Regions from separate parts of the Mus musculus genome. Here all the other regions are reported to be linked to region 5. Evidence: microRNA targets listed by miRTarBase, many of them from high-throughput screens and not tested one by one. Region 5 holds a microRNA gene; each other region holds the end of a gene's coding sequence.

Evidence for each region. Region 5 holds the annotated microRNA mmu-miR-9-5p (UCUUUGGUUAUCUAGCUGUAUGA, at 2,310-2,332, shown strand). A microRNA usually pairs through its seed, bases 2 to 8, with sites in the 3' UTR of a target mRNA and lowers its output. Matches are read on the target gene's strand: a 7mer-m8 pairs with bases 2 to 8, a 7mer-A1 pairs with bases 2 to 7 and ends in A, and an 8mer does both.
Region 1: miRTarBase lists Atf1 as a target of mmu-miR-9-5p. Seed matches in the 3' UTR shown: 7mer-m8 at 3,590-3,596.
Region 2: miRTarBase lists Rnf128 as a target of mmu-miR-9-5p. Seed matches in the 3' UTR shown: 7mer-m8 at 1,684-1,690.
Region 3: miRTarBase lists Erg as a target of mmu-miR-9-5p. Seed matches in the 3' UTR shown: 8mer at 824-831, 8mer at 1,144-1,151, 7mer-m8 at 1,731-1,737 and 7mer-A1 at 2,129-2,135.
Region 4: miRTarBase lists Sacm1l as a target of mmu-miR-9-5p. Seed matches in the 3' UTR shown: 7mer-A1 at 2,345-2,351.
Region 6: the mRNA of Ccn2 is a reported target of mmu-miR-9-5p. Seed matches in the 3' UTR shown: 7mer-m8 at 4,590-4,596.

The regions. Positions count from the first base shown.
Region 1 is chr15:100,259,284-100,264,379 of GRCm38, reverse strand. Atf1 (activating transcription factor 1) reads right to left here. Exons shown (of 7, transcript NM_007497.3): 7 at 3,132-4,565. The coding sequence ends at 4,421. Among named protein-coding and RNA genes, the nearest start is that of Tmprss12, 19 kb to the left of the region's middle.
Region 2 is chrX:139,671,208-139,676,300 of GRCm38, forward strand. Rnf128 (ring finger protein 128) reads left to right here. Exons shown (of 7, transcript NM_023270.5): 7 at 528-1,938. The coding sequence ends at 661. It also overlaps the pseudogene Gm6322. Among named protein-coding and RNA genes, the nearest start is that of Tbc1d8b, 11 kb to the right of the region's middle.
Region 3 is chr16:95,356,392-95,361,487 of GRCm38, reverse strand. Erg (ETS transcription factor) reads left to right here. Exons shown (of 11, transcript NM_133659.3): 11 at 162-2,319. The coding sequence ends at 682. Among named protein-coding and RNA genes, the nearest start is that of Gm31641, 99 kb to the right of the region's middle.
Region 4 is chr9:123,589,999-123,595,094 of GRCm38, forward strand. It overlaps Sacm1l (SAC1 suppressor of actin mutations 1-like (yeast)), which reads left to right. Exons shown (of 20, transcript NM_030692.5): 20 at 803-2,602. The coding sequence ends at 939. Slc6a20b (solute carrier family 6 (neurotransmitter transporter), member 20B) reads right to left here. Exons shown (of 11, transcript NM_011731.4): 11 at 3,825-5,096. The coding sequence ends at 4,995. Among named protein-coding and RNA genes, the nearest start is that of Slc6a20b, 40 kb to the right of the region's middle.
Region 5 is chr7:79,502,970-79,508,065 of GRCm38, forward strand. It overlaps Mir9-3 (microRNA 9-3), which reads left to right and starts at 2,295; the gene lies at 2,295-2,384. All of the region lies in intron 1 of Mir9-3hg (Mir9-3 host gene), which reads left to right. Gm51285 (predicted gene, 51285) reads right to left here and starts at 2,367; the gene lies at 2,310-2,367.
Region 6 is chr10:24,597,248-24,602,343 of GRCm38, reverse strand. Ccn2 (cellular communication network factor 2) reads right to left here. Exons shown (of 5, transcript NM_010217.2): 5 at 3,661-5,029. The coding sequence ends at 4,733. Among named protein-coding and RNA genes, the nearest start is that of Gm15270, 4.0 kb to the right of the region's middle.

The DNA.
Region 1 (5,096 bases), not on the chromosome of region 5:
TCTAAATATTTTGCAACCAATATTAAAGGTCAGTCTGCAGTGGATCGCCACTGGCATCTAGTTACTTCTAATTGTTATGCATTGGTAAAATGAAAGGACCCACTGACTAGCGAATAGAAGGGTCCAGATCCGGTTCTAATCTGGGGAAGGGGCTCGGTTTGTGTTTTTTCACGAGATAAAGATAGAGCGCGGTGGCTGCCAGAGAGATTAATTCGTCAGATGAACACAGATTCTGACTCTTCTTATAAGTATCACCTTGAGGACTAAAATTCCTCTTTTGCTTACTATTCAGCTGGAAACTAAAGCTCCCAGGAAAGCTGTTTTCCTGCTACTCTCTGAGCCAGTTCCCCGACAGGAGGCCAGAGACTAGCCTTAGCTTTACAATTTGCAACTGAATAAAGTACCTGAGCTTCCCCAAAAGCAGCTTTGTGATGTTACTCTTCACTCTCTAAGATTTTTGTCTTTCAAGCAGGTTTCAGGCTGGGGAAGGGGAGACTACAAGTGTGTTTTTCAAACATGAACTTGCTGTTGAGCCCAGGCTGGCCTGGGACTCATGCCTTAGCCCCAGGACTGGAATTACACCATCTCTATGAATATATGTAGTGAACATACACACATTGCATAGGCACACTAAACTCAAGTAGCTGCCTCCCTGTGGGGAAGAAATCCTAAGAAAGGGTCTGTGGGGCCTCCTGTATGCATTCTCCTCTTCGTGTCACCTGTCCTGGGTAGTACACACTTTTCCTGCTTTATGACATTTTCATATGTTCTTGTGCATACATGCATGACACGATGCACATGTAAGAGTCAGAGAACTTCTGGGAGTTCATTTCATCCTTCCACTGTGTGACCATACTTGCGATGTCAGGCCTGGCACAAGTGCCTTTACCGGCTGAGCCACCCCATGGTCTGTATTATCTTCTACATACTAGTGTTTAGGTTTGTAGAGTGTGATTTTAAAGGAGAGTTGCCACCTAGTGGACACACTTAAATAGAACCTTTAAAAATCTTACCTACTAGGTTTTTAAACTATTTTCAGACAAGGACCAGAACCTTTCTGCTTTTTTTTTTTTTCTCAAAAGCCTTTCTAGCTCCAAACCATTGGTGAGAAGACACATTTGGAATGACCAAGAACACCCATTTTGGGTTTGACCCAACCTAGAATTTAACATCACTTTTGTTATTTACTGTGTAGCTTCAGGGAGAGTATCATGTTTTTCTGTATCTACATGAATTTGTATTCACACCTTTATCAAACATGAGGAATCCTTTTAATTTTTAAAAAAGATTTTATTATATGTGAGTACACTGTAGCTATACTTACAGAAGTAAGAGGGCATTGGATCTCACTACAGATGGCTGTGAGCCACCATGTGGCTGCTGGGAACTGAACTCAGGACCTCTGGAAGAGCAGTCAGTGTTCTTAACCACTGAGCCATCTCTCCAGCCCCATGAAGAATTTTCTTGATGGAGCTATAAAAGAAGTGCCTCACTGGAGTTTACTAAAGGTATGTACCAGGGTGAAGGTAGGATTGCTCTGTTTTTTAAAATAAATTTAATACTGTCTGTGGATGTGTGTGAATGCAGGTGCATGCCAGATGGCTGTGGTCAGAGGACAACTTTTGGGAGTCAGCCTTTTCCTTCAGCTCTGGAGATGCAATTCATGGGGTTAATGGTTTACTGAATGGTTAAACTCATTTGAGATGTGTGGCCTCAAGTAACAGGCTCAAACTCTTTTTCAGATAGGGTTTCTTCTCTATGTAGCCCTGGCTATCCTAGAATGTGCTTTGTAGACCAGCCTGGCCTTGAACTCAGAGATCTACCTTGCTCTTCCTCCTGGGTGCTGACATTAAAGGTGTAAGTCATCTTGCTAGAGAGATGGCTCAGCTGTTACGAGCACTGGCTGCTCTTCCAGAGGACCCAGATCAACTTCCAGCACCCACACGGCAGCTCACAACTTGTCTGTAACTCTGGTCCCAGAGGATTCTGACATCCTCAGACAGACAGATGCACAGGCGAAACACCAATGCACATACAATTAAAAAGTGTGTGTCGCCACACCCAGCCTGGTCTTAAATTCTTGGTCCTCCTGTTTCAGGCTCTTGGTCTCAACTGAGATCCCAGGTGTGCACCACACGCTACAGTGGGTTAACCACTGCTTCAATCCCAGCTTTTATGCCCTGGACTCTTTAGCCTGGTGGACAGAGTGCCTTGCATGTGCGTTAGAGTGAGACCAAGTCTTACTTTATAGCGTATTACTTGTTTAGATCTGCTCTGCGTCCTGACTGCCTCCTTAGCCCTCAGGCATTACTCTCTGGTGCTAACTTTGTGGCACTTTTTTTTTTGTTTGTTTGTTTGTTTTTCAAGACAGGGTTTCTCTGTGTAGCCCTGGCTATCCTGGAACTCACTCTGTAGACCAGGCTGGCCTCGAACTCAGAAATTCACCTGCCTCTGCCTCCCAAGTGCTGGGATTAAATAAAGGCGTGCGTCACCATACCCCGCTTCTTTGTGGCACTTCCTGGGAATGTGAACCACCATCACCGCAACTCACTGACAATTCTAAGTCAGAATGCATCTATCTACCATTCCGTGAGCAAGGAATGCCTACCTATTCTTCCTCTTTGCTTAAAAATCATCACAAAATCATTTACTGGCCTGGGAAGCTGCTTCACTGTAGAGTGCTGGTCTGGCCAAGTGTGAGGTTCAACACAGAAAGAACAAAATGGAACTGACCTGAGAAGCCTTACATGTGGCTACACTGGCTTACAAAGGACAGGGGAATGTGGAACACCCTGATCACGTAGGCTGATGGGCAACCAATTAAATGAAAGTAAGGAATAGCCTTTGTGCTCCAACTGATGAACCCTCCTTGGGGTCCACTGCAGACTGACGAGGTGACTGACCACTGGTGTGAGGTCCCAGGGCTCCACAGAACAGCAACTTCCCTGTTCACTCTAACTGGTTCTTCCTGAATCAGAGCACAAGTGCACCCTACTGAAAAGCACACTCAGACCCCAGGCTTAGAATCTGGCTGCACTTTAAGGCTAAAAATTCCTCAGTGAGTATCTCACACAGTGGCTGCTGGTGGGCTTGGCAGTTGTTATATCAAACATGTTTTGCATTCCGAAAACTTAATCTTATCAAATGTTTTTTAATTTCACAGACAATATGAAACATACTCTGTAGGTACACAACAGTTCTGCAGTTTCCAAGTGAACACAGATTAGAATACAGAGGTTAAATGCTGGTGTACTGACCACAGCTGAAACTTTAGATAAAACTTTATATAAAACATACAATTCAATTATCAGCCAATTTGAAAATTTTACTCTTCTCATAATATAAAAATGATACTTTGAGATACAAAATTTTTTTTGCTAAACAAACTATATAAACATTTAAAATAATCATTAAAAACTCAACATTAGAATTTATAAAGATTCACTATAAAAATATATCGGCAGTCACTTCTTTTATAAAGGTACCATGGGCTACATTACACAATAGTCTCAATGTAAGATTGCCTCAGTAACTGTTTTAGAACCTGACAAACCTTACGGTAAGATGATTATAAAACCCCTCAGGAAAGCTTTGGTGTGCATATTCAGGTTATTTAAAACATTTGAGGGCCTTTGTAAACACTTCATTCTGTTAAAGCGCAAGAGAATGATCTTCAACTGCACACAGGATTAGAGAATCAAAAAACAAAAAAAACAAAACCAATCTATTATGTACTTGCCCTTATCAGAGGAAGCAAAAAACAAACTATTAAACTGTCAAACTTGCAGACAGTTCTCTTTCCATTCTGACAAAGCAAAGTCACAAACCACCTCCACCACAGGCTGATGTGTCTCCACGCCATTTAGGAGATCTCCAAACCAATCGAGTCCAACCAAACTAACTGCTAAAAACTCATTTAACATACCTGACATTACGACACAATCAGACCACATAATTTACATACTTAGTAACGCTTTATGCTTTTACATTTGTAAATTTATTGGCAGAAATGAGGCACGCACGCACACACACACACACACACACACACACACACACACACACACACACACACACACACACACGCGCGCACACACACAAAGGCAAGTTTTAGGGAACAGAGAAATACAGACGTAGCAGGAACGGACTGCTTCACTAACGTCGCCTGCCATTTTCGTTGCTGACCATTATTTCTATTTAAACTGCTGAAAGTCCATTCCTTGAGCACTCTATCTTTTCGGAGCTTCCAATTGAGACAGTAGCTTCCTGCAGGTCATCTCCATTCTCCCTCCATCATGTCTGTTTGTGAAAACCTAATACAAAGTAGCTTCTTTGACCTTTGAATTTATAGAACTCCACTAAAAAGAAATCCACCTAATTTTTAAGCTTTAAAGTCCACAAAAAATACTTTCTCTTTAAAGAATCAAACACTTTTATGAGAATAAAGGTCCTTCAAAGTCTTTAGCTCCTCTATTAGAGTTTTATTTTGATTTTCCAGAACAGCAACACGGTTCTCCAGGCACTTCACGTACTCCTTCTTCTTCCGGCGGCACTCTCGGGCAGCTTCTCTAAACACAATGGACAGAACACATCAGGAAAATGCAGCACCCTTCAAGTGGAAAATTTCCCCCACTATTCCTGACTCTGTTTAGTGAACATCATCTTATTGTATAGTTCAAGTTGGCCTCAAATCTGCAATCCTCCTGCCTCATCCTCTCTTTCTCAATGCTGGGTTTATAATCACATGCTACTACCTCCAACCCCCATTTGATAAATTATCACCTAAGGGGCTGGAGAAGAGTAATGGGGCTCAGGGGTTAAGGACACCTGCTGCTCTTGCAAAGGACCCAAGTTCAGTTCCCAGCACCCATGTTAGGTGTAACTATAGTTTCGGGGTTATCAGACATTTCTGGCTTTCCTGGGTACTTGCACACACCCACATATAATTTAGAAGGACAATTTCCTTTAGACAAGGCTGGCCCTTCCCTCAGCCTTGCCAGGATTCTATGTGTGAGCTACCGTTCCTGGTCAATGCATAGATCTGGAGTGTGGAGATCTATCAGCTCTAGAAACACATACTTGCATGAGCCCTCCTGAGA
Region 2 (5,093 bases), not on the chromosome of region 5:
AGGATGGTTATGTATTCTATTTACTATACAGTTAGGTTCAAATAGCCCAAGTGATAGTAATGTGCATCCAGGCTTAAGACCTGATATTTTTAGAAAAGAAAAAAACGCAAAAGATGTAACTTTTGCCCTTAGTACGTTTATAATTTAGGTAAAAGTAACCACACAAACATAAATAAAAAAACAGGAATCATAAATCAATAATGCCAAAAGTGCCTTAAGGGAAACAATATAAATTAAGATTTCCTTTTTTTTTTTCAAGATAGGATCTCATGCTGTAGCCTAGGCCAACCTGAAGTGTACTGTGTAACTAAGGCTAGCCTGGAAGGTAGAAGAATTCTTGTGTCTTACCTGCTGAATGCTATGAATACAGGAGGTCATCCTACACTTGGATTAAAAAAAAGTCACATAGTAATCATCAGAATATGATGGCATTGAATAAGGAAGCCTTCTTGGAAATGAGTGCAGACTTCTTGCCTTGAAAGGAAAGAAAGGTACTATCATTCTAACATCTTCACTTCTGTGTCCAGATGAAAATCTACAGCTGGTAAACCATGAAGCAAATTCTGTGGCCGTGGATGTTGTTCCCCATGTTGACAACCCAACCTTTGAAGAAGATGAAACTCCTGATCAAGAGGCAGCTGTTCGGGAGATTAAATCTTAAAAATCTGTGTCAATAGAAAACTTGAACCGTTAGTTAACAACAGGACTGCCAATCAGGGCCTAGTTTACTATGAATGAACTGGGTAAACGTAAAACAAGAATGATACTGAAAGTGCTGAGGTAACTTATATTATACTATAGTTAAATGGCTTAACATATTTACCCCAGTACCGTTTTCCACAAACTCACCATAACGTTTTTCATAGGCAAGTTTCCTCTTGGTGATAGTGATAGCAACATTTTTAACATTCAGAACCGTCTATGAGTAGTCAGGTTTTTCATTTACAACAACTTTGTTATAAAAAAATATGTTGCTTTAAAAGTGTGGAGTAGCTGTAATCACTTTGTTTTATGATAGTATCATAATTAAACAATACTACTACTTTAGCTTGGGCTCTGTGTGTCGGGGTTTGTCTCCAGGTGCTTATATTGATCTGGAATTTGTTTAAAAAAAAAAAGAAAAAAAAAGCAATGCGAACTTAGGCATTAAGTTGATAGTACAAGATTAAAGCAAAATATTCATTTTAACCTTTTCATTTTAAAATTAAGCTGTGTATGTATTTCATGTGAGTGTTGAGCATAGTTTGTCAGAAAAATATGAACTGAATTGGTTGATCAGTATATTAGTGACACCACACAAGATTATAGACATAAAAAGTTTCTTACAAAAACATTCTAAACTATTTCTCAAGCTTGATGTTTTCAAAAGCACAGGATAGAAACTACCATCAAATTTGAAAATAGTAATAGCTGAACTAAATCGTAGAACATTGGTAACTGGTTACGGTGCAGAATTCATCTGCAGAGAATATTCTGTAAAATGTGTCAAATGTGGAAAATAGTTTCCAAACAATGGTGACTTTGAAAACTGAGTTTACATTTGGCCTTGTGGTCTCTAATTACATGAAATTTAAATTCTGTCCATCTATCTATAATTTTGTGATTGCATTTGTTGGTGTTTGAAAAAGAATCAAGGGAAGGGGGGATTCCAGGTGCCTTAATAAAAAGTTTGAAGCTTCAACCACCAAAGTTAAATAGAGCTATTGAAAAGACGCACTTTATTTCTACTTTGTGTGGCTTGTGTTTTGTTCCCAGTGCAAATTCCCACAGGATTTAGACAAAAATAGAACAGACGTGTATTTTTGTTTGCTGACTATATAATGGATGAAACCATTGCACTCTTGTACACTGATTTGAAAATGCTGTAAATATGCTCTGATTTGTACTGATTCTCTTTAAATATAAAATGTAAATAAAATATTCCAATGAAAGATTGTATCTGGTGTTCGATTTAGCTCTCATGTGCTAGCTAACTTTTGTATCTAATACATCGACTGTTGAGAGGGCAGAATAGTTGTGTGTAAATGGTCGTTGGTATAGTGATCAATATAGACTGAACCTCCAGTGTGATCCTTGCATATGACCTTACACAGAAAGGGAAGAGCTGCCATTCTGATCTCACTGAACAGACTGTGAACTAGATAATAAAGCCGATCAGTAATAAAATGCATGCTTAAAAGTTCTTTATGCCTAACCAGGCAGTCCAAGTATGGGGAAGAGAGGAGGGAGTGGGGCTGTAAAGTGAATAAAAAAAACTAAGAGTTAAATAAAAGGTCTGGACGGCAACCTATATCCATGCCATTCATGACAGGAGGATTGATTCAATCTTTTAAAGCTTTCTTCCAGTTTTCTCTTGTGACTGTATGATTGGTGGGATAATGTTTATGAATCAGAGCCTATCTTCTCTTGTGTTAAACATTTTAAGAATATACAGATACTTGGATCACCTCAGGACCATGATGATCAAAATCAGTGTAAACATATTGCATGTGACAACATGCATGCAATGTGAGTATTCCCTGTATTTTCAAGGAGTTTACGTTCATGGGGCTTATTTTTAGAGAGGTATTTTTTTTGCATCTAAGAACTTAGATCTTAACAAAATTAAATATAAAGCAAAATCATACTGAACTTGGACAAGCCAATCTGACAGAAAAATAAAAGCCCCAAGAACAAGCACAGTTATCAGAAACCCACTCGTTCACACATTCAGGAGTCTCATTACAGTACTAAATTGGAAGCTATAATATATGTACAGAGGACACAGTGCAGACCCATGTAGGCCTCGTGCATGCTGTTTCGGGGAGAGAGGTTTTTTTTTTTTTTTTTTTTTTGGTTTTTCACGACGGGGTTTCTCTGTATAGCCCTGGCTGTCCTGGAACTCACTCTGTAGACCGGGCTGGCCTTGAACTCAGAAATCCGCCTGCCTCTGCCTCCCAAGTGCTGGGATTAAAGGCATGCACCACCACTGCCTGGCGAGAGAGATATTTTTAACTTAGAAAAAAATAAACTATTTGTGTACATGTCTGAGTATATACATACATGTAGTGAAGGGTGGTGTACATAGTGGCCAGAAAAGGCTTTTAGACCTCCCAGAGGTAGAGCTCCAAGTGTTTGGGGAATGTATGCTCAGCTTGTTAACATAGGTGCTGGGGTTTGAACTCAGGTCCTTATTCCATTATCCAAAAGCATCCCCTCATACCAACTGATAGTCAATTCCTGTTCCCATTTCCAGCCCACACATGCATTTACCAGTCTGCCTTTTGTCTCTCTAGGCTTGTCTATTTTAGATATATCATACAAACAGAATTGTTCAATAAAGGTTTTGTGATCAGATTCCCTTTACCATAATATTTTCAAGGTTCACTCATAGAATATAATTTCAGTAATTCATGCCTATCCATTGTTGGGTAATATTCCACCATACAAATACCTGACATTTGTTTATACTTTCATTAGTGACTGAATTCTTAGGGTATTTCACCACTTTGGCCATTATGGATAATACTACCACACACATTCATATGCACATCATTATCTTGATGTATATTTTGGCGTTTCCTGGTATATATAAAGGAGAGGGATTCCATGCCACTTGTGGATTTTATTACTTCCTGCTACTACTATTTGATATACTTTAGCTTAAGCACCAGAATTTATATTATGCTCTAACCTGATAGTCACTACATAGGCTGCTTCTTTTATCAGTGATAGTAGATAATATTTGTATGGTAAGTTATAAACATAAAAATAGGGGCATATGAGTTCATATTTAGTAGAATTCGGGTTTCATATTTTAAAAAAATCTACATTTACCTCACAATGTAATAAACAGACACAACTGAGCTCCTAGGAACATGTCTTCTCCCTTCCATATATAGAGGGATTGTTTATTTGTGAAATATTTTGTTACGGAATTATTAACTCAGACTGTAAAATTTCTTATCATTTACTTGGCTCATTTTTTTTTTGGTTGGAGTTAATTTTTTTAAAGATTTATTTTATGTATATGAGTACACACTGTAGTTGTATAGATGGTTGTGAGCCTTCATATGGTTGTTGGGAATTGAATTTAGTACCTCTGCTCGCTCTGGTCAACCCAACTCGCTCTGGCCCAAAGATTTATTTATTATTATAAGTTCACTGTAGCTGTCTTCAAACGCACCAGAAGAGGGCGTCAGATCTCATTATGGGTGGTTGTGAGCCACCATGTGGTTGCTGGGATTTGAACTTGGGACCTTTGGAAGAGCAGTCGGTGGTCTTACCCACGGAGCTATCTCACCAGCCCTGGAGTTAATTTTTACACCTTAAGCACAATAACTAACAAAAGATTTAATTAAAATATTACATGAGAATAAAAGAAATTAAGGTTTGTGATCATCACTTTGATCTCTAGTGACGTCCTCTACCAACAAAGCTACTTCAGGAATTACTCAACTTTCAGGTGTGTGTGTGTGTGTGTGTGTGTGTGTGTGTGTGTGTTGTATGTGCATGAAGACATGCACAAAAGCTAGAGGAGGACATCAGGTGTCCTGCTCTATCATTCCCTTGAGACAAAGTCTCTCATTGAACCCAGAACTAGGGTGGCAACCAGCAAAGTCCAGTAATCCCATCTCTGTTCCTCCACTCCAGCCCTGGGATTATAGGTGGGAATAGTTGCTCTAGACTTTTGTGAAGGAGGTGCAGCAAACTTTTATTGATGGTACTCAAGAGAGTAGAGAAGGCTCCCTGAGTCCCTCCTGTTATTATGGGGGTCTGGGATGGAAATTGTGAGGGAGATGTTCAGTGTTGGAGCCAAGTTGAGACAGGAACTCCTCAGCAACCAAGGGCCTCTCTCTTGCTCTCAGTGTCCTTGCTGGGGTGGGTGGTCCAGGGTTTCTTACTCCTTGGAGGCCATGTAGGCCATGACGTCCACCACCCTGTTGCTGTAGCTGTATTCATTGTCATACCAGGAAACAAGCTTTACAAAGTTGTCATCGAGAGCAATGCCAACCCCAGCATCAAAGGTGGAAGAGTGGGAGTTGCTATGAAGTTGCAGGTGACAACCTGGTCCTCAGAGTAGCCCAGGATGCCCTTTAGTGGGCCCTCAGGTG
Region 3 (5,096 bases), not on the chromosome of region 5:
TCTCTAGATAAACGAGGAGCCAAGAGTCAAAAGTCACAACAGCCCAGGAGCAGAGAGATGGGGCTGGGGTTGAAGACCAGACCTGGTCAGGAGGTCTATCATTGAGGACTGAACCTTCTGTCCTTGGTTCTGATTGGCTTTGTGTCCCTCCTGATCATTAGGTAGTGGCCAGATCCAGCTGTGGCAGTTCCTGCTCGAACTCCTGTCAGACAGCTCCAACTCCAACTGCATCACCTGGGAAGGCACCAACGGGGAGTTCAAGATGACAGACCCGGACGAGGTGGCTCGGCGCTGGGGGGAGAGGAAGAGCAAGCCCAACATGAACTATGACAAGCTCAGCCGCGCCCTCCGCTACTACTACGACAAAAACATCATGACCAAGGTGCACGGGAAGCGCTACGCCTACAAGTTTGACTTCCACGGGATTGCCCAGGCCCTGCAGCCCCACCCTCCTGAGTCGTCCCTGTACAAGTACCCCTCCGACCTGCCATACATGGGCTCCTATCACGCCCACCCCCAGAAGATGAACTTTGTGTCTCCCCACCCTCCCGCTCTCCCAGTCACATCTTCCAGTTTCTTTGCTTCCCCGAACCCATACTGGAATTCACCGACTGGGGGCATCTACCCGAACACTAGGCTCCCAGCCAGCCATATGCCCTCTCACCTGGGCACCTACTACTAGAGACCAGATGGAGGCCTTTCCCAACAGTGTACAATCGCCTAGCAGTCGCCACAAACTCAGCGAACACAAATCAAAAGTGCCTCGTGAGGAGTGGAAACGGTTGGCCAGAGCTGGGGAAGGAAGCTGGGGGGGGAAAAAAAAACCAAAGACTCGCAGGGGAGGGTGGGTGCCACCCAAGTATTACTACAGAAATAGAAGAAGCTCAAAATATACTGTACATGGACATATAACCTGTGGTCCACCCTTGTCAAAGACATTGTATGTAGAAAAGCTTGACCAAAAAGAACAACTGCCCAAGGAAGTGGCCTTAAGTAGTGTACAAACTGTAGAGTGTGGGACCTTGCTTGACCTACCAGGATTGAGTGAAAGCAATAGAACAGGAACAGACTTGGCCTAACACACCATGTATGATGTCATTTGAAGGGAAACTACCTGTGTTTAAAAATAGAAACCATGTCAAAACCAAAGAAGAAGCAGACAAAAACAGAGATGGCGGGCCCCTCCACAGACCACAATGGCTGTGGACTTTCTTGGCTGGCATTTGCTTGTTTTCTTTGAAATCAGATTCGTTCCATTTGATAGAGAGCTGCCAGCTCTGTCAAACTGTGAAGATGACCCAGGGTCTCATCTCCTTTTCAGTATTATGGGAAATGTGAGCCATGTGGTGGGTGGGGGCTGTGCATGTTGTTGGGAGTATGAGATTGTAGGAGAGAAGCTGAAATGGAGGAAGTAGAGGAAGGGCTGGGGGAGGGAGTGAAGGAGGAGGGAAAGGAGAAGGGGGAAAGGTGGAGGGGGAGAGGAGGAGGAGGGAGAGGAGAAGGGGGAGAGGTGGAGGGGGAGAGAAGGAGGAGGGAGAGGAGGAGGAAGAAGAGGAGAGAGAGGAAGGGGAGAGAAGGAGGAGGGAGAGGAGGAGGAAGAAGAGGAGAGAGAGGAAGGGGAGAGAAGGAGGAGGGAGAGGGAGAGGAGGAGGAAGAGGGAGAAGAGGAGGAAAGGAAAGGATAGAAGGCAGCTGCTCAAGCCACCACAGCTGAATTTAGGGCACCTTGGGACCAAAGGGCATGAGTTGAGAGATGTTTGATGCTGTCAGTGTTGTAAGGACACAGATTTGTGGAGGACTGGGAGCAGTAGTATTCAGAACCAAAAATATGTCTCTTTGTGAAAAGGAAATCATAACTGGAATTGTCTGATATTTTTTAACAAAAATTCAGAACCTCAGCACTCGGTGGAGGCTTTTGTCCTTCCCGGGAGCAGTCGAGAGGTGACCTTGGTAGCCACCATGGTCAGAGACCACACAGGCATTGTGGGTAGGTGGGCTCCAGTTTTCCTTAATGAGTCGCGAACGCTGTGCGTTCGTCAGAACGAAGTCTACAAGTCAATGGGTTTTTTCTTTTTATATAATAATTATATAACTTATGCATTTATACACTACGAGTTGACCTCGGCCAGCCAAAGACACACCACACACAAACAAACACACACACACACACACACACACACACAAGAGACAATCAAAACATATGATGTGGCCTTGAATTTTAACTCTGTAATGCTTAATGTTTACAATATGAAGTTACTAGTTCTTAGAATGCAGAATGTATGTTAATAAAATGAGCTTGGCCTCTCACGGCGAACCAGAACGGTGGTAGTCTCCGTTTGTGCTTCTTTGCTGATGAACAGTTGTCTAGCAGAAACTTCGCCGACTCTTAGGGGTTTGTGTTACAGTCTTAGTTTGTCCAAGAATGTGAACAGATGGCCGTCATACAGATGTACTGTTACCCAAGCACACAAGCAGCATGGGCCTCCTGACTCCCACGAGCTCCTTGCTCTCTCATTTTCACCCAATATGGAAAGAACACAGGTTTCTCCTAAGGGCCTCCATGATTGCTCTGAGCAGGTAAAGAGACCTCCACAGCTGAGGCTGTCACTAAGGAGTTCTATTCTGCACTGGTCACCCGGCTTATTGTCATGATCATGCGATTCTTGATGAGTGATAAACAAGCCATTGTTAAGCCAAATTTTGTCATCATGATCGGTACATCAGTCGCAGAGAACTGCAGTTTCTTGTTAAAAAGCATCAGGGGAGCCCAGGAGATGGCTCAGTGACTGCAGCTCTTGCTTGCAAGCATGAGGACCTGAGACTGATCTCTAGACGCTTTGTAAAAGTCAGGTACAGTGGCCCACCCTTGTAATCCCATCTCAGCGAACGGCAGATTCACAGATCCCTGGAACTCACTGGCCAGTTAGCCTAGCGTGCTCTGTGAGGTTCCAGGACAGTGGGAAACCTTGTCTCAAAAAAGTTATTTATTCTCTGACCCCTTAGGTCAGACCCATAGGCATGTGTGCACCCACATACAGAAATACATATACACGTGAATACACACGTGTGCACATGTGTGCATCCACTACATATGCACGCACGCGCACACATGCACACGCTCACCCACACATGCATATGCGCGTGTACACACACGCACACACATGTGTATACACACATACACACGCACACACGCACAAACACACGCATGCACAGTAAAGCCCTGAGGTACAGCTTCTGAGCTTACCACTCCTCATTCTGAGGACTCCCCCAGCGGATGCTCTGGCCTTACACCCTGGAGTCCTCATTTCTGGAGTGGCCTTCCCAGCTCTCCTTCATACACACTTTATTGTCTATGATCTCACATCAATTTTTCTAGACATCTCTTGTCTTCATGTCACAAAGGCTACCCACCTGGGCCTAGGTGCTATGGCGGTCCACCTTCTGAGAGCAGCAAGCCAAGGCCTGACTCAAGCCTAAGCCAGAGTCAGGTTTTTAAATGGGCTGTTTCATGTCATAGCAGTTTCAGGACTCGGTTTGCACTTTGTAATCCCTTCGCTATGATTCAGTGCACTCGCCAGTCCCCTGCGCTGTGCATTTTGGCAACAGTCTGTGAACTCCGTAGGGTGTGATTACCAAAGCTTCAGGCGACCTCATTGCAGGATGGAGAGGAGTCCAGATGTCAGTCATTCTGCAGCAGCTGTGGGAAGGCCCGTTGATGGTCTGCATCTCCTTAGGAGAAAAGAGAGCAGAGCACCAGTGTTGGCTGCTAGGGTAGGGATAGAGCAGCCATGTGGTCCTGGGGCCAAGCCACGTGGTCCTGGGATGGGAGAGCTACAGGTCCTGGGGGGGGGAGCCATTTGGTCCTCAAGGGGAGCCATGTGGTCCTGGGGGGAGCCATCTGGTGGTGGTGGGAGAAGCCATGTGGTTCTGGGATGGGGGAGCCACGTGGTCCTGAGGGGAACCATGTGGTCCTTGGGGGGAACTACGTGGTCCTGGAATGGGGAGTCATGTGGCCCTGGGAGGGAGTCATGTGGTCGTGGGAGTAGGAGAAGCCATGTGGTTCTGGGATGAGGAAGCCATATGGTCTAGAGGGAGCCACATGGTCCAGGGGGAGCCATGTTCTGGGGATAGCCATGTGGTCCTGGGGATAGAGGTGAGATGAGAGATTTAGTTTTGCTGTGCAGAGCTGGGAGCACCTACGTTCTTTGTGTAATGTACAAATTCATTTGGGTAATCACTCAATTCCCCACACCCCCTTGGAGACCGCACTGTTAGTGAAATAATAGAAGCAAGACACAGCCCTTAGATTCAATCCTAACATATGTTCTCAGTTAGGTCCCTCACAGCCCTCCCCTCAGTCCCCTGCACACTTGGGCTGGTAGCAATCCCCAGGAGTAGCCTGAGAAACTGCATAATTTTGAGATAACACAGTATTTCTGGTTCTCTGGAATAGGTGAGTCTTCAACCCAAGTTGAACTAATGGTCAAGGTCAAGGTCTGGGTCTGTGCTAATCAGTCTCCAAGGCCTTCTATGGGGCTTTGCTCTATCTCCCCTCCCCTCACTGTCTCTCCGTCTTCTTCGGGATGTCCCTTGTATGAAGGCCACCTTCTGGCAAGCCATGTCATCAAGGACCTTTGGGACTCTACTGGATGCGATCCCCAGTCTCAATCAAGACTTGACTGACCCTCATCCCACCCCATCGTTGCATCTTGGAAGGTTCCAGATGACATCTTGTTGGGCTCTGTGTCCCTTTGAGTACCCATCTAAATGACTGACATTGATTCGCCTACCCCTTGGAAGCCAGATCCCAAAGAGCTTGGCCTCGAGGATAGGTGCTGTGAGCATGGCGGAGTTCTGCAAGCTGGGGAGGGAACTGTAACCATTGAAGCACAGCAGAGCTGGGGCCAAGATAATGCTGCAGCTGTGCAAAGAGCAAGGTGAGTTCTGTAAATACCAGGTTAGAGAAATACCACAGACTGTAAGTGCGGCTGGCTGGCAGAGGCTGGTCACCCGGGTTGAGGGTTATAGTCTTTTCGTCTGGCTGCCATATGACTGTGATGGAGCCACTATCCTGCTCCCTCACTCCGACAATTAGAA
Region 4 (5,096 bases), not on the chromosome of region 5:
AAGCTTTGAAAACTGATAATGTTGCAAATTTAGGGATAATTTTGAGTAAAAATAATACCGAATTCTATGGATAGTGTCCTGTCAGTTAATGCTTGCAGATAGGGGTTGCTGATTTCCAGCCCTTGCTGTGTTTTTCAGGAGGGAACGTAGATGCATCACAGCCTCTGACGTGGTCTGGCTTCTTTTCCTTGAACGATCTTATTGGCCATTTGACTCTGCATGTGTTTTTCCACACTTGAGGCAGGTGCAGGAGAAAAGTGAGCAGAGGCTTAGCTGTTCAAAGAGAAAAACGAAATAGGTCTTTGCTTCATGGGTGCTGCTAACCTTTATGAACTCAACCAGCAGTGTTGTGTTAAATGCTGTTGTAATATGTTATGATTGAGTTGAGTTTAAAAATATACATTCTGTAAAGTGTGTCTTGTATAGGTGTTTTGATAATATTGCATTGATTGTAGAACTATGATTAAATTGTTAGTAGTAATTTCTTGTGCTACTAAAGCATTTAATCGCAATGATAATTATGATTTGTGTGGTAGTCTGAAGTAGTGCAGTTCCCACAGTGTGGCATCTGTCGGTAGCCTCAGTATTGCTGGGACCCTGTCACAGAGGCAACAACTTCTTAAGGTACCACAGATGATGGTTTACCGAGCCTGCAGAATTGAGACACCTGGTTTAAAACTTAAGATGTTCTATTTTTCCTGTGGACATGCTAATAAACTTCAGTGTGAAGTTGTGCTATACAACTGATCACTAGGTCTGGTATCAACAAATGATGTATTATCTTTGTTTTTAATATCAACAGGTGACACTTGGACAGAAACACTGGCATATGTCCTCTTCTGGGGAGTTGCAAGCATTGGAACATTTTTTATTATTCTTTACAATGGCAAAGATTTTGTTGATGCTCCCAGACTGGTCCAGAAAGAAAAGATAGACTGAATTTGTGTTTGTGGAAAGCGGCTTGGCTTGGAAGACTCCATGATGCAGAACTGGAGTCTTTACTGACCTGCTTTCCACGTGAGCCCAAGGTCTTCTTAAAGCCTTTATCCAAAAGTACCTCCTGTGGTTTTGGGCTGGGTGATGTCTTAGAATTGATCTGATATTACCGCTTTGATGATCTCGTTACCGTTGGGATGGTTATATTTATGATTTGAAGCTATAGTATAATTAAAATGTAGCTTAAATTCAGCTCACAGAACAGAAGAAATCTATTCACTGTCAAGTCAGAATTCACAGATAAGTAATATATTTTAAAAAATTTAACTTCTTTCACATTATTTAAAACAAATTATTTTTCTAGCTCTGTTTCATTATTGCCATTGTAAAGCAGTCACTGTTAGCAAGCATATTTTCCATGTATCTTTGGGCTTTTCTTAAGAGTTTAATAATATGCAAATTCTACTATGCTTATAGAGTGTCTCTTAAAGGTCAAGCAGTTTGCTAAATTGTAATTTCACAATTGTAAGGAAGAGGAGAATGGGATCTAGAGTCATTTGAAGTTTCTAGTAGCTGCCTCTTGGCTTCAGCCAGCTTGAGCTGCTGTAGTGCCCGAGCAGCTTATATGTCATGAAAAGTTCAGATATAGTTTATCTTTTTTAAAAGGTATAAATGAAATCAAAGAATGTAAAGTCTGTCTCTTATGCTAAAGGTCCAAAGTCGCCTCTTTTTAAGAACTGCTCCATTGTGGGAAATACACTAGACTGGCCAGCTGCTTCCTCTCCTAGCTTGTAGGATTTTTTATTATTGGTTCCTCATTGAGACATGCAGGCCTCAGAGAAGGTCTTGTACTAGATTTGATTCTCACTTGGGGTAGCAGTTGCTTTTCCATGCATGGCACTCTGGCTCTATCACCCTGTCAAGGTTTATGTTGGCTGTCAATAAGTGTCTGAAATTTAGTGCTTCCAGGTAGCCATAGTTCTCCAAATCAAGGACCAACTTTAATTTATGCATAAAACAGACTGAAAACTACGCTTCAGAAGCTGTGCATAGTTGTAAGACAGGTTCTAGATTAAAATTGTAATTATGAGGTTTAGATATTAGAACAGTATATAAGGTAGTATCATTGCACTATCTTAAAACAATTCAGTTAAACACTGCTATGGTACATCAGTGTTTTGCTTTAAAATATGTAGGTTTTCTAATAGTACCTTATGTTATCCATAAATATTTCTAAAAGCGCCTTTAACATTACCTTTTTTCAACATTATCTTTTATAAACAATAAGGGTTATTGCTTTTAGGAACTCTGGGGAAATTCTGTGTAGCTTAAAATCAGTCATTAAAACTCACAATAGAGTAAGTAAATAGAGCCACCTGTTCTGACATGTAAATAAGCATAGTTTGTTCCAAAGATGGAACATTGAAGCCCAGCTGTGTCTACTGTAATATATTACTCAAAAGCTACTGGGCGTTTTACAGTAAGCACTTCATGTCAACAGCTACAGCAAACACCAAATCTGAACCACTAGTGTGGCTGCTTCGCAAGGACTAATGTCAGAGGGTTAGGCTGCAAGTGATCAGTGTTTGACAGCCCTGCAGTGATCTTCTTTAACTCATTTACTGTACATCCATATGCAAAAATAAAATGCCATATTCTTTTCTAACCGCTGTTGGTACTGTTTCTCTGTTTTTATCGTGTTTTTTTTTTAATCTTAAAGCAGTGTTTGATCATTATAGAAATACTAGTCACTACAAGTAAACAAGGTAAATAACTTCTAAACTGTTTTCCAGTAATCACCTTAGACACTTTTTATAGCTTTGTTTTTTTATAGATAAGGCTAAGGCAACATTTAGTAATATATAACATTTAGTGATGTTTAATATCCATAAAATTATCTGTACTTTCAAATTATAATTTGTTTCAAAGAGATACAGGTTGCAGGGTGATAAGGAAGTATGGGTGAGTAATTGCTACAGATTGTAACCAATGAATGGGAAAATAGTATGTATTTTCTTCTGTGCTCGCTTCCAAGGACAAGTTTTGACAGTTGTCACTTCAGGTCTCATTCTATCCATGATCAATTTTGGGTAATAGACTGAGAGGTCAGCCTGGTATGTGATGTCAAGTGACCTTTAAATCTCAATGACTGTTTTTTGTTTTTAATTTATAAGATTTCTCCTCCTTCCTGTGTACCCTGCAGAGTTGGCTGCTTTTCTGCTCCCTAGCTATACTTTGGCTCTCACAACAGTGACGCTAACTTCTCTTGGGACACTCTCAGTTTTCCTGACAGAAAGAAGCCTTTGCTCAGAAATGACACAATTTTCCTGTAGTACTCATTTTGGACAAGTCTAGGGCAGTGTGAGTTGAAAATCAAAACTCTGATTCTCAATTTAGAGTTGAACTGTGCACACACATCAATATGTGTGTGCGTGCTCAAAGAGTCCCAGCTAGATCCCGGTATGACAGGTAACTGTAAGGTTGAATTTGCTCCTGGCATCTTCACATCACCTCATAGACCTAAAAACTTAAACTGATCTAACAGCTACCATTCTGTAACATGTGGGTATCTTGTCAGCAAGAACCAGATTGCAAAGTCCCAGTCTTAAGACTTAGAGAATCAATCACTATCTTCAACCTTTAAAGCCGGTATCCATTGATGGAAAAAAGGCTACACATGATCTTCAGGGCTGGCACTGGGAGGAAGGTCTTCACACTTAATTTTTTTTTTTTTTTTTTTTTTTTTTGTTTTTCAAGACAGGGTTTCTCTGTATAACCCTGGCTGTCCTGGACCTCACTTTGTAGACCAGGCTGGTCTCGAACTCAGAAATCCACCTGCCTCTGCCTCCCGAGTGCTGGGATTAAAGGCGTGCACCACCACACCCGGCTTCCACACTTAATTTTTAATAAAATGTATTGTATTTGAGGTTCACAACATAGTTATAAGAAGTTACGTAATAAATGTGTAGTATACCAGGGCATTACTACGTCATCCCACACAGTTGTTCTTAATAGTAAAATCAGATTTAGTTAAAAAAAATCCTAACAGTTTTGTGTTGCATATAGCACTCCAGGTTTTTCCCCCACATCTCTATTTTGTATTGTTTGGTCTACAGCTCATTTTCCCCTTCTCTATTAGCAAGAGTCTAGTCACATATAAAGGAATATCCATTAGATTGTAAAAAATGGATTTATCTGTACATTCAGACTACTAAAAGAAAGAAACCTGTCAGTCAAGAATACAATATGCTTCAAGAAATACTGGATGGGTGAAGTAAGAGAGTGTTTGAACCCAGGCTGGCATCGGCTGCTCCCTCCCCATTTACCCACCCCCTCTGCAAAGGAATGGTTTAAACAAAAACAAAAGGATAATTAATGTTCTAAAACGTATATACCTGGCCTGGTGGCACATGACCTGTTGTGCTAGTATGGGGAGGCTATGGCTAGAAGATCACAGATTCTAGCCTAACCTGGAATGCATAGGTCCAGACCAACCTGAGGTCCATATATACCAAGACTCTACCTCAACCAAAAAAAGCAATGTTAGAGGTAAATTTGTGGTCTAGCATATCATGACTGTAGTAGTGGTGTGTAAAGAATGAGAGCTAAAGATCAAAATGATCAAAAATTATATCTATTATGAGCTATATAATACAAATGGTATAAATTTTAACAACAAAAGTATACGTCATGGAAGAGGAGGAATAAAAGCTGTTGGGAAGTGGTGGTGCACACCTTTATTCCCAGCACTTGGGATGCACGTAGATCTGAGTTCAACGTCAGTCTGATCTACAGAGTGAGTTCCAGGACAGCCAGGGCTACACAGAGAAACCCTGTCTTGAAAACAAAAACAAAAGGGTAAAAGCCTCAGCATTTATGGTCAGAGTTAGGTTTCTGTCAGCCTACAATTTAATACAGAGAATTTAATTTTCCTTGCAGATTCAGGAAGCAGAAAATACTTGTGGCTTTAAAAAGCAGCTGTAGACCTCCCACTGCTGGATATATAGGGAGTGGCTGTGAAACAGTGACTGACAGGAAGTCTGTGGGACCTCCAGTTCTCAGGCTGCAGAAAACTGTTCTCTGATCTTGAAGTGGCGTGTGACAAAAGTCCCCAGGGCTACCAGAGGGATGCACATGGTGGAGGAGGCTACCAGAAGCCC
Region 5 (5,096 bases):
AGGCCAGGGCTCCAGCGTGCTATAACCATGAACCTCACAGCCGAGGAGCCATTTTGTGCAGCGTCCTGCTTAAATCACACTCTGAGAACGCTCCTTCTCTCTTTCCCCTCTCTCCTGCTCCCCACTCCCCCTCTTTCTTCTCCCTCCCCCTCTTTCAGGTGAATCGTGCTTGCACAGTTCCCTCTGCCTCTTCAGTTCCACCCATCCAAGCTCAGGGTGGCCCAGAAGGACTAGAGCGCAGGAGGCCGCCCACACTGACAGACACACAGCTAAATGGAAGAGGGTGTAGATTCCAGAGGCTGTAGGAGGAGAAGAAAGGGACACCTCCTAATTATGAAAAATCCTTTAGAATTAACCAGGCAGGCCCAAATTCGAGGTTCCTTCCTGGGCCTTGCTGTCGGTAGGTCGGCCCCTCTGTTTCTCTGATGCTTTTCAGTCTAGCCTGTGTCCTTTTTCTGAGACAAGGATTTGTCTGTGAGGTGGCATTTGGAAAGAGGTGTGTAACTGCTAGCTGGCTTGCTCACTGGCTGACAGGGATGGCAGTGGGGATGCAGCCCACCTTGGATTTGGGGTCAAGATAAAAAATAGGACGAATCTAAAACAAGCACGGGGTACAGAGGTGTGGTGCCAAAGCCTGGTATTAAACAAAAAAAATCCAGATGTGTCATTTAAGGGAGACTGCTTTAGATACCTTTAGAAAAATTCCCTGATCCCTTCCAAATCACCCACTTTGGGCCTATTCTTTGAACCCAGCCTTATGGGATTTGCTGATGGAGAGTGTGTAAGGGGTGCCCCCCCCCCCGCCTCACCAAAACAGATCTGAATGAGTACCCCCACCAAATCTGGGCTGCTTTGGGGATGCCTTAGCACAGAGAGTCTTTGGGACTCCCTCATAGTCACTGCTGGAATCCTGGAACCCGCTACCCCCCACCCCCACTCTATTGTTAAGTCAATCTCTAGATCTTGGATTTAAGATCTTTCTAGGGATGACTGGGGGGGGGGGAAGGAGATATCGAATTTTTCATATTTAATCCTTTGCCTCCCAGGAATGGGTGAAGGGGGTGAATCAGGGCTCATAGTGGGAGGGGTGTACAGGAGCAAGGAAGACAGGATGGGTTTCAGGTGAGCAACCTCTAAACCACCACGTTTAGGAGACTGAGACGGGACTTCAGTTTGGTGGCCAGGCTCAATTCTACTGTGAAACCTCAAAATGTCAATTCTTTTGCCCTGTAAAGTCACTTGGAGTAAGTGGGCTAGGGTGTGCTGTGAGCAGAAAGATGGCAGGAGCTGATTATTTTTATGGGAGGTGAATAGGAGCCCAATTACGGCCTTGGATATCTTTAAGGCGCAGGGGCACAATTGATTACATATCCTTGGCTGTACTAGGAATGGTCAGAGGGAAAGGGCTAACAATCTGGTGCCGACATTTAGGACCTGGTTTGAGCGAAGCATGCCATGGGAATCCCTACAAGTCAGGCAATATATATGGGATACATTGATCTAGACACCCACTCCTTCCCTTAATCCCCAGTCTCTACCGCGGTGTCTGTACAGTGCTGGGCAAGAAAAAAAAGGAAGAGAGACCTTAAGGATAAAGTGACCGGTTCGCAGCCTCTCCTGCGCTCACTTGGTTGCCTTGGAGAGACCTCGACCTTAAACCTCTTCCCTCAAACTCTAACTCTGGTGGTCTGCGGTGGCTGCCAGGCACCTAAGACGTTGCTGGGAGGTCAGAGAGGTTTGAGAGAAAGGCCAGACTGTGTGCATCCAAGCAAGCAGGCCTAAGGCTTCTGAGGGCAGAAGAGGCGCTCCCCTGTCCTCGCGGCGCAGAAGCCGTGAACGCCGAGGCCATTGTAAGGCTGGGTGGTGCCGAGCGCGGGAAGGGGGCTGGGATTTGAATGGAAGCCCGTGATAGGCCGATCCCCCGACTGACGTCACTTCCCCGCGGGGCGATTAGCCTGCGAGAGGAGGGCTGATGGTCCAGTGCGCTGGGGGCCGCCAGGGCGCCCGAGGCTGCCCAAGCGCAGAGCGCCGGTTACCCGAGTGCGCCCCGGGACGGCGTCGAAGCGGGCCGCGCACGCACTGGACGGGGAACTGGGGATGGAGAAATCGCGAGGGCGAGGGAGGAAGGGAGCTGGGCGATCCGGGTGGCGGGAGTCCGTGTGTCTGTGTGTCTGTCGGTCCCCTCTGGCTCTCCGCGTGCGCCCGGGGCTGCGGGAGCGGAGTCCGCTCAGGCCCCCGCGCCGGGTCGGCGGCGGCACGTGGGGCCCACAGCGCGGCAGCGGTGCCGGCGAATGGGAGGCCCGTTTCTCTCTTTGGTTATCTAGCTGTATGAGTGCCACAGAGCCGTCATAAAGCTAGATAACCGAAAGTAGAAATGACTCTCACAACTTCTGCGTGCGATGGCCCGGCCGGCCGCCCTGGCCACAGGAGCCAGAGGAGCCCAGAGAAGCCCACGCCACCCAGGGATTCCAGCTCGACGGAGCGGCCACGCCGGGACCAGGTATCCGACCTCGGCTCTCCTGGGGACACTTGCCGTGTCCTGGAGGCATTCCCTTCACCTCCTCCTCGGTCCCTGCACCCCCATCACCATTTCCCAGCGCCGAGGCTGGAACCCCGAAGTGGAGTGGGTTGGGGGCAGGGAACGGGCTGGGGTTGCAGAGGGGTCGCTGGCGGGGAAGGCGCCAGCCTTTGCCTTCACCCCATAAATCAGGCTAGAACAATCCACGCCCTGAGCTGCAGACTAGGATTTTGGGATGCAAATGCGATGAGAAAGAGAACGGAGAGAGGAAGGGAGAGAGGAAGGGAGAGAGAGAGGAAGGGGGAGAGAGAGAGAGAGAGAGAGAGAGAGAGAGAGAGAGAGAGAGAGAGAGAGAGAGGAGAGAGAGAGAGAGACCGGTAGGCAGTGTGTAGGGGGAGTAAAAGGGTGGGCAGGGGGCTGCCCTGCCGCTAACAATGCAGCCTTTATCGAATTATTCGACGAGTCAGCCCCTGAGCACCATTAGCATACGGCTGGGGGGTTGCTGGAGCTTCGCCCCTCGGTGAGGTCAAGTTCTTGATAATTTGATCACTTTTCACCGGCTCTGGCAGCTGCCTTTGTGTGCAGTTGGGGGGTCTGTGTGCAGCGTGAAGCGGAGCAGAACTGGCGGGGAGTGTACTCAATGGCAAGGGGCCTAGGCGGGGGGCCTCCCGCCCCGACCGACCGGCCCTGCCCTGCATACAAACCAAGAGCAGGCTGCTGGGCGGGAGAGACGTAGCCCAGATCCTCTAAACCTCTATAGTTCTGGTCGGACGGCTGGGGCCGGAGCCTCCCCAACTTCCCCAACTGGTTAAGGGGGAAGCCAGGCTCTCTGGAGCTCCTCTCCTTCCCGCCCCAATAAATGGCAACATAAGATGTATTACAATGTCTAGCAAATAAAAAAGCAATTGGGGGAAAAAATCTGAATTCCGTTCCCATGGCAACCCAATGCTGCACACCGGCCACTCAAGCTCCAGGTCCCTCTTAGCTGGGCGCTGCGAGTGGGGCGTGCCAATGTTCTGTGTCCGTGGTTCTTAGCCCCACAAGGAGCGGAAGGTCCCTTTGAGGTTTCTCTGCCTTCAGGTCCCTCTCCTTCCTGCCACTCCCTTTACTCTTTCCTTATCTTGAAGTTTGGGGCCCCCTGCAACTTAGGAAACCATTAGGGCTCCCGCGTGGTGGATGTAGACCCAGCTATGGACCCTATCAAGTGTAGGGAAGAAAGGATCCAAAGTCAGTTCACATACCTTAAGGCTTGGGGTCTTTTGGGGTTCTTTAAGGCACATATCAGTGTATACATGCTTTAGCAGATTGACTGGGAAGGATTAGTGCTACCATCCTGACTTGACCCGCTTTCTTTTCCTTGAACATATTAAGGAAGCAGATCTGGGGGGTGAGGGCCTACTCCTTAGGGAGTAGCACACACAGCGCAGAAGTGCAGAGGTGGGCACTACCTAGGTCACCTTACCTCCATCTTGGCCCAGTTCAATCCCAAGAGCCTCTTGCCTTAGTTATTTATAAGATTGGTCTCTCAGCCTCTATCCAGAACCTGCCCAGCCCCCTTGTGATAATAGAAATCTTTTTCCATCTTTGTGCCTACCAGCCGTTCCTCCCCCCCCCCCACACCCTTTGCTTAGCAAAATTATCTTAACAACAAAAAGGTGACTTGTGTAAAAGTAAAAATAAATTCAGTGATACAAAGGAGAACCTCCTGGGTCTGGGGAGGGGCAAGGTGTGGCTTCCATACGGTAGATGGAGAGTTTTTCACTGCATTGCCTTGGAATGTTAGACAAAATTAAACGCGGTGGCAGGAAAGCAGCTGTCTCTGTGCCTCCTTCTCAGGGACTCATTGGGTGGAAGGAAGGGGTTCGAGGTCCTTTCATCTTTTCCTTCCCGTTTCTTAGGCCTGTGAAGGGTCACTCGCGTGTTTGAGGACCCAGGAGCCTCCCTCCCCCCAACTGCATCTACTGGGCTTGCTCCCCCTTCCTGGTGCACCTGGGAGCCTGTGTGCTGGTGGTGACCTCATTTCTGAGGAAAGCAGAGCAGCTCTCTCAGCCTGCTTGCCCAGCACTCCCTGCCTCCACGTCTCACGGATGGGCTGGGGCTTCCCCAGAGCCTGCCCCGGTACTCAGAGCCTTCTCTTCCCTGGCCCCTCTCCTTTGCTATTTTTGTAAGAGCCAGTCCTTCCTACACCAAGGTGGTCACATAGCTTCACGACTGTGTCTTAGGTGTAGTTCAAATGTGTGTCGCCTTTGGTTCTTTTGCCGTCCAGGCAGGCTGGAGTCCCCCCATTAGGAGTCCCATGGAGGTAGAGTCCTAGCCTGAGACAGTGCAGGACTTTTACTGCTTTCTATGAAGGGGGAAATCTGCTGATACAAACCTTGCACTTTAGGGAAAAGATGAGGGCCTCAAGGGAGGAGGTGGTGGTGGTGGTGATGGAATGGGTCTGCTGATTCTGATTCACAGAGTTTATCTCACACCCACCACAAAAGGTTTTCAGGGGTGCCAGCCCATCCATTTTATCCTAACAGAGAGATGTTCAAATCCCACCCAGGACCCTTGGAGCCCGAGACACAGGCTTAAA
Region 6 (5,096 bases), not on the chromosome of region 5:
TATATTATAATATTTTTATTACATTTTGGTTATCTGCCTTTTTCACCTTTTGTCCTCTTGGCTGCTGTACCTGATTCCCCCTCCCCCACCTCTCCCGTCTTCCCTCTTATTTTCCCCTCTCCTCGAATGGCTCAGGGTCAGGCTCACTCTGGGCTCTCCCAGATGCCCTCCCCTTTTATCTACAATAAACCTTCTTCTCTACCATACCTAGGAGCAGTCATATCCTTTCTTTTTTCCATTCATCAGGTGCCAAAACCAGAAGGTAGGGTATGCTAGCCAGAAGGACCCCGTAACAGGTAAGGACTGAGGGATTCTGGGCAAAGCTGGCAGGCAGCCAAGTCCACTTTGTTATATTAAATAGCACATCAGTCATTTGTCTTGGGTTTGAGGCCTAACAACAGAATCTAGATTCATCAAGACAACTGCCATAGTTTCAATTGTCAACTTGGCATACCAGGGAAGGGGGAACGTCACCTGAAGAGTGTCCTCCATTGCATTGGCCTGTGAGCATATTGTTGGGGGGATTGCTTGATAACTAGTTGATCTAAGAGGGCCCAGACTCTGTGGGTGGTACCACCTCTGGGCAGTAGGTCTGGGCTGTGTAGGAAAGAGAGATGAACAAGCCCAGGGACACAAGTAAAGTCAACCCCATTCCACATGGTCTCTGCTCAAGTTCCTGCCTCCAGGCACCTGTCTTGATCCCCTGCCTCCACTTCCTTCGATGATAGGGCCATATACTGTAAGCAGAAATAAACTTTGTCCAGCCAACTTGTTTTCGGTCAGTGTTTTGTTAGAACCAAAGAAAGAAGAGTGGAACAACAGGCCTCTGGGTGTGTTTGAGAGAGGTTTTCTAGATGGGGTTAAATGAGATGGGACGATCCACCTCAGGTGTGGGCAGGACTGTTGCATGGGATATGGTCTGGTCCTAGAATGAATAAACACAAATGTGCTAGCTGACCGCTCTAGCATTCATCTCTCACTGAATCTCCTATCAGCTTCACTACTGCACTCTGCCCCCACTCCCTAGACTGTGACCTTCAACTGTAAGTCACAATAAACCCTTTCTGTTTTCCTCCTTTTCTTCTTTCCTTCCTTCCTTCCTTCCTTCCTTCCTTCCTTCCTTCCTTCCTTCCTTCTGTCCTCCTTCCATCCTTCCTTCCTTCCTTCCTTCCTTCCTTCCTTCCGTCCGTCCTTCCTTCCATCCTTCCTTCCTTCCTTCCTTCCTTCCTTCCTTCCTTCCTTCCTTCCTTCTGTCCTTCCTTCCATCCATCCTTCCGTCCTTCCTTCCTTCCTTCCTTCCATCCTTCCTTCCTTCCTTCCTTCCTTCCTTCCATCCTTCCTTCCTTCCTTCCTTCCTTCCTTCCGTCCTTCCTTCCTTCCTTCCTTCCTTCCTTCCTTCCTTCCTTCTGTCCTTCCTTCCTTCCTTCCATCCATCCTTCCGTCCTTCCTTCCTTCCTTCCTTCCATCCTTCCTTCCTTCCTTCCTTCCTTCCTTCCTTCCATCCTTCCTTCCTTCCTTCCTTCCTTCCTTCCTTCCTTCCGTCCATCCTTCCGTCCTTCCTTCCTTCCTTCCTTCCTTCCATCCTTCCTTCCTTCCTTCCTTCCTTCCTTCCTTCCATCCTTCCTTCCTTCCTTCCTTCCGTCCGTCCGTCCTTCCTTCCTTCCTTCCTTCCTTCCTTCCTTCCTTCTGTCCTTCCTTCCATCCATCCTTCCGTCCTTCCTTCCTTCCTTCCTTCCATCCTTCCTTCCTTCCTTCCTTCCTTCCTTCCTTCCGTCCGTCCGTCCTTCCTTCCTTCCTTCCTTCCTTCCTTCCTTCCTTCCTTCCTTCCTTCTGTCCTTCCTTCCTTCCTTCCTTCTGTCCTTCCTTCCTTCCTTCCTTCCTTCCTTCCTTCCTTCCTTCCTTCCTCCTTCCTTCCTTCCTTCCTTCCTTCCTTCCTTCCTTCCTTCCTTCCTTCCTTCCTTCCGTTGCTTTGTCAAGCATTTTGCTACAGCAGCAAGACAAGGAAGTGCCCAAGTCTCCCAAGTTGCTGGGGTCACAGGCCCATGTCACAGGCTCAACTTCCTATTTGTACCTCAGTCTTCTCTCTCAATGTCTCTTGCCCTGACTGGCTCAATTTTGACTCAGTTCTTACGTGTTTGTATCTTGTCTCAGTAAGCAGCCCCAAATGTAAGTTGTACCGGAGGGGTATAACCCCCTACCCATGTCTACAACTGTTCTCAAATCAGCTGTAGTTCTAGCCAGCACTTGCTGCTTCCCTGAGATCTCTCTTGTTCTCAAAACATCACATGCTCCCCTCTTTTCCTTTTTCCCACGACCAACCGCTGACACAACTCAGGCCTTCGGGTGGTTGGCAATTTGTCTTCATTACTATCTCGGGGTCAAGGGTGTCTTGTCTTCTAATTTTGTTACATACTGCTCATGGGAGTTTGGTTATGCAATTTACTTACTGTTTCTGTGTGCAGAATTTGGAAACATCTCAAATCCCTTCTTCCTCCCTACAACTTTGTTTCCCCCCACAATTCTTTGATTCCTTTCAGGAGTTATGCTTTCTCCATGGCTCTTTATGATTGTGGCCGGACATCGGTTGACAGAGAAGAAAAGGGAGCTAGCAATGTACTGTTTGTGTACCCTGGGTGTGTTTATTTGGGGTATGGTTTATTTGAGGTAGCAGCTGCTGCTACCAGTGTTGCCATGTACCTGTGAGGGTGTACCCTAAAGCCCAGTGTTGTGACTAGAAATACTTTTCTCATGGGAAGTTTTTCATTTGGTTTGTGGTGTGGGCACTGTTTGTAGCATGTCTCTGCTTTCAGGTGTATTTTTGTCTCTCTGAGTGACTACAAGATTGCTAACCATCCCAGGGCAGGTTAGTCTGTCTGTGGTATGTTTTTCTCTGGAAACCACAGCTGTTCTCATCTAGGAAAAGAAAAATGTGTCTGGAGTGTTTGTGATTCTGTTTGTTTCACTGGCTAGTAACAGCCAGGTATATCTTATATCTTTTCTATATCAGGGTTCTTAAAGAATTTAATGTTGTCACCTATAAACCATTTTGGTAATGTGGGACAATAGTGTGGAATCACCTTCAAATAAAAACCATTTTCAATTAACATTAATCGATAGAAAATTGACTTGTGCTATCTTTATATTTGCCATGAGTTGTCATAGCAATAGAAAAATAAAATTTGTACAATAAAGCTTATAATCTGACTTAATTTTAATGTATATGTTAGTCTATGCTTCCCGTTTAACAGTGAGGCTTTCGAGTTCAGAACCAGAGCTACAGTGAAACACAAGCTAATATTTAAACATATTCTCCATGTAAGGCACAGATTAATCTGTGATGTGAAAGATTATAAATTAGCTTTAATGTCCAGATGTACCAAGCAGAAGTGGCTGAGTGAAGTATGCTGGGGGTTGGTGGAAGCTGGAGTCAGCTACACAGAGCTGAACTTAAAGCGTTCCTTGAACCATGTTAGACAGCTGATGCACATGTCTGCTTGATTCATTGTAAGGGATGCTACGCACAATCCTATTGATTTCGTGCGATTCATGCATATCAAAGGTATTTGTAAACTTCCTAGTGAATTACCTTAAGATAAATATGAACTTCTTGCTTACACCCGGGAAAACCAAGAAAAGTTTACAAGAATGAACAGCCAAGCCTTTCATATAAAAAATATATATATACTTTATTTTCAACTAGAAAGGTGCAAACATGTAACTTTTGGTCACACTCTCAACAAATAAACTGCCCCCCACCCCAAACCAGTCATAATCAAAGAAGCAGCAAGCACTTCCTGGTAGGAATCGGACCTTACCCTGAGCCAGCCATTTCTTAATAAAGGCCATTTGTTCACCAACAGGGATTTGACCACATTTCCTACTAGAAATCTGACTTCCAATACATAGCTTTATCACCTGCACAGCATTTGTTCTGACAGAGAGTCACTCAGGTCACAATTCCCACTGCAGTATCTCCTTTGTTTTGAATCACAGATAAGCTTCGTGTCCTACCTATGGTGTTTGGAGTTTGAGGCTATCAGTTTAAAATCCCAAAAGCACTTAAAACAAAAACAAATGACTTTAAATTAACTTAGATAACTGTACAAATATATATATATATATATATATATATATCCACAATATTTACAATATCAATAAAAATCTGGCTTGTTACAGGCAAACTTACTTGCCACAAGCTGTCCAGTCTAACAGACAAGGCTCTGACTCCTGACAAGTGTCACTGGAATCAGAATGGTCAGAGCTGAAACTGCTGTTCTTAAAGAACAGCTGGACTCAGCCTCATCTAGTGGAGGACACATGCTCAGCTCTCGCTAGAGCAGGTCTGTCTGCAAGCATGCTATAATTTCCCTCCCCGGTTACACTCCAAAAAGTAGGCACACTGCTGCTTTTAAAATAACCTCAGCTAGTACCTGTCTTTCTTTCTCCTGGCATCTCCACTGTTCCAGGAGACTCACCTCAGTGTGCATTCTGGCACTGTGCGCTAATGAACAACTGTCAAGTGTAAACTGTCTCGAAACCAGTGTCTGAGGTTGACAGACTACTTGTATGGCCATGACATAACGTTCTCACTTTGGTGGGATAGTTCCTCCCACGGTAGTTAAAAACACAGATTTAAATTAATGTGCTACTGTAATTGTTTTTACAGAAGAAAATGAGATGCAACTCAGTTCAAGTTATAGTCTAATGAGTTCGTGTCCCTTACTTCCTGGCTTTACGCCATGTCTCCGTACATCTTCCTGTAGTACAGGGACTCAAAGATGTCATTGTCCCCAGGACAGTTGTAATGGCAGGCACAGGTCTTGATGAACATCATATTCTTTTTCATGATCTCGCCATCGGGGCATTTGAACTCCACTGGCAGAGTGGTGGTTCTGTGCGGTGTGCAGCAGCGGCCGTCTGTGCACACCCCGCAGAACTTAGCCCTGTATGTCTTCACACTGGTGCAGCCAGAAAGCTCAAACTTGACAGGCTTGGCGATTTTAGGTGTCCGGATGCACTTTTTGCCCTTCTAAGGAAGACAGAAGGAGAAACAGCAATTACTACAACGGGAGTGGCCTTCCTCAAGCCTTTGTAGA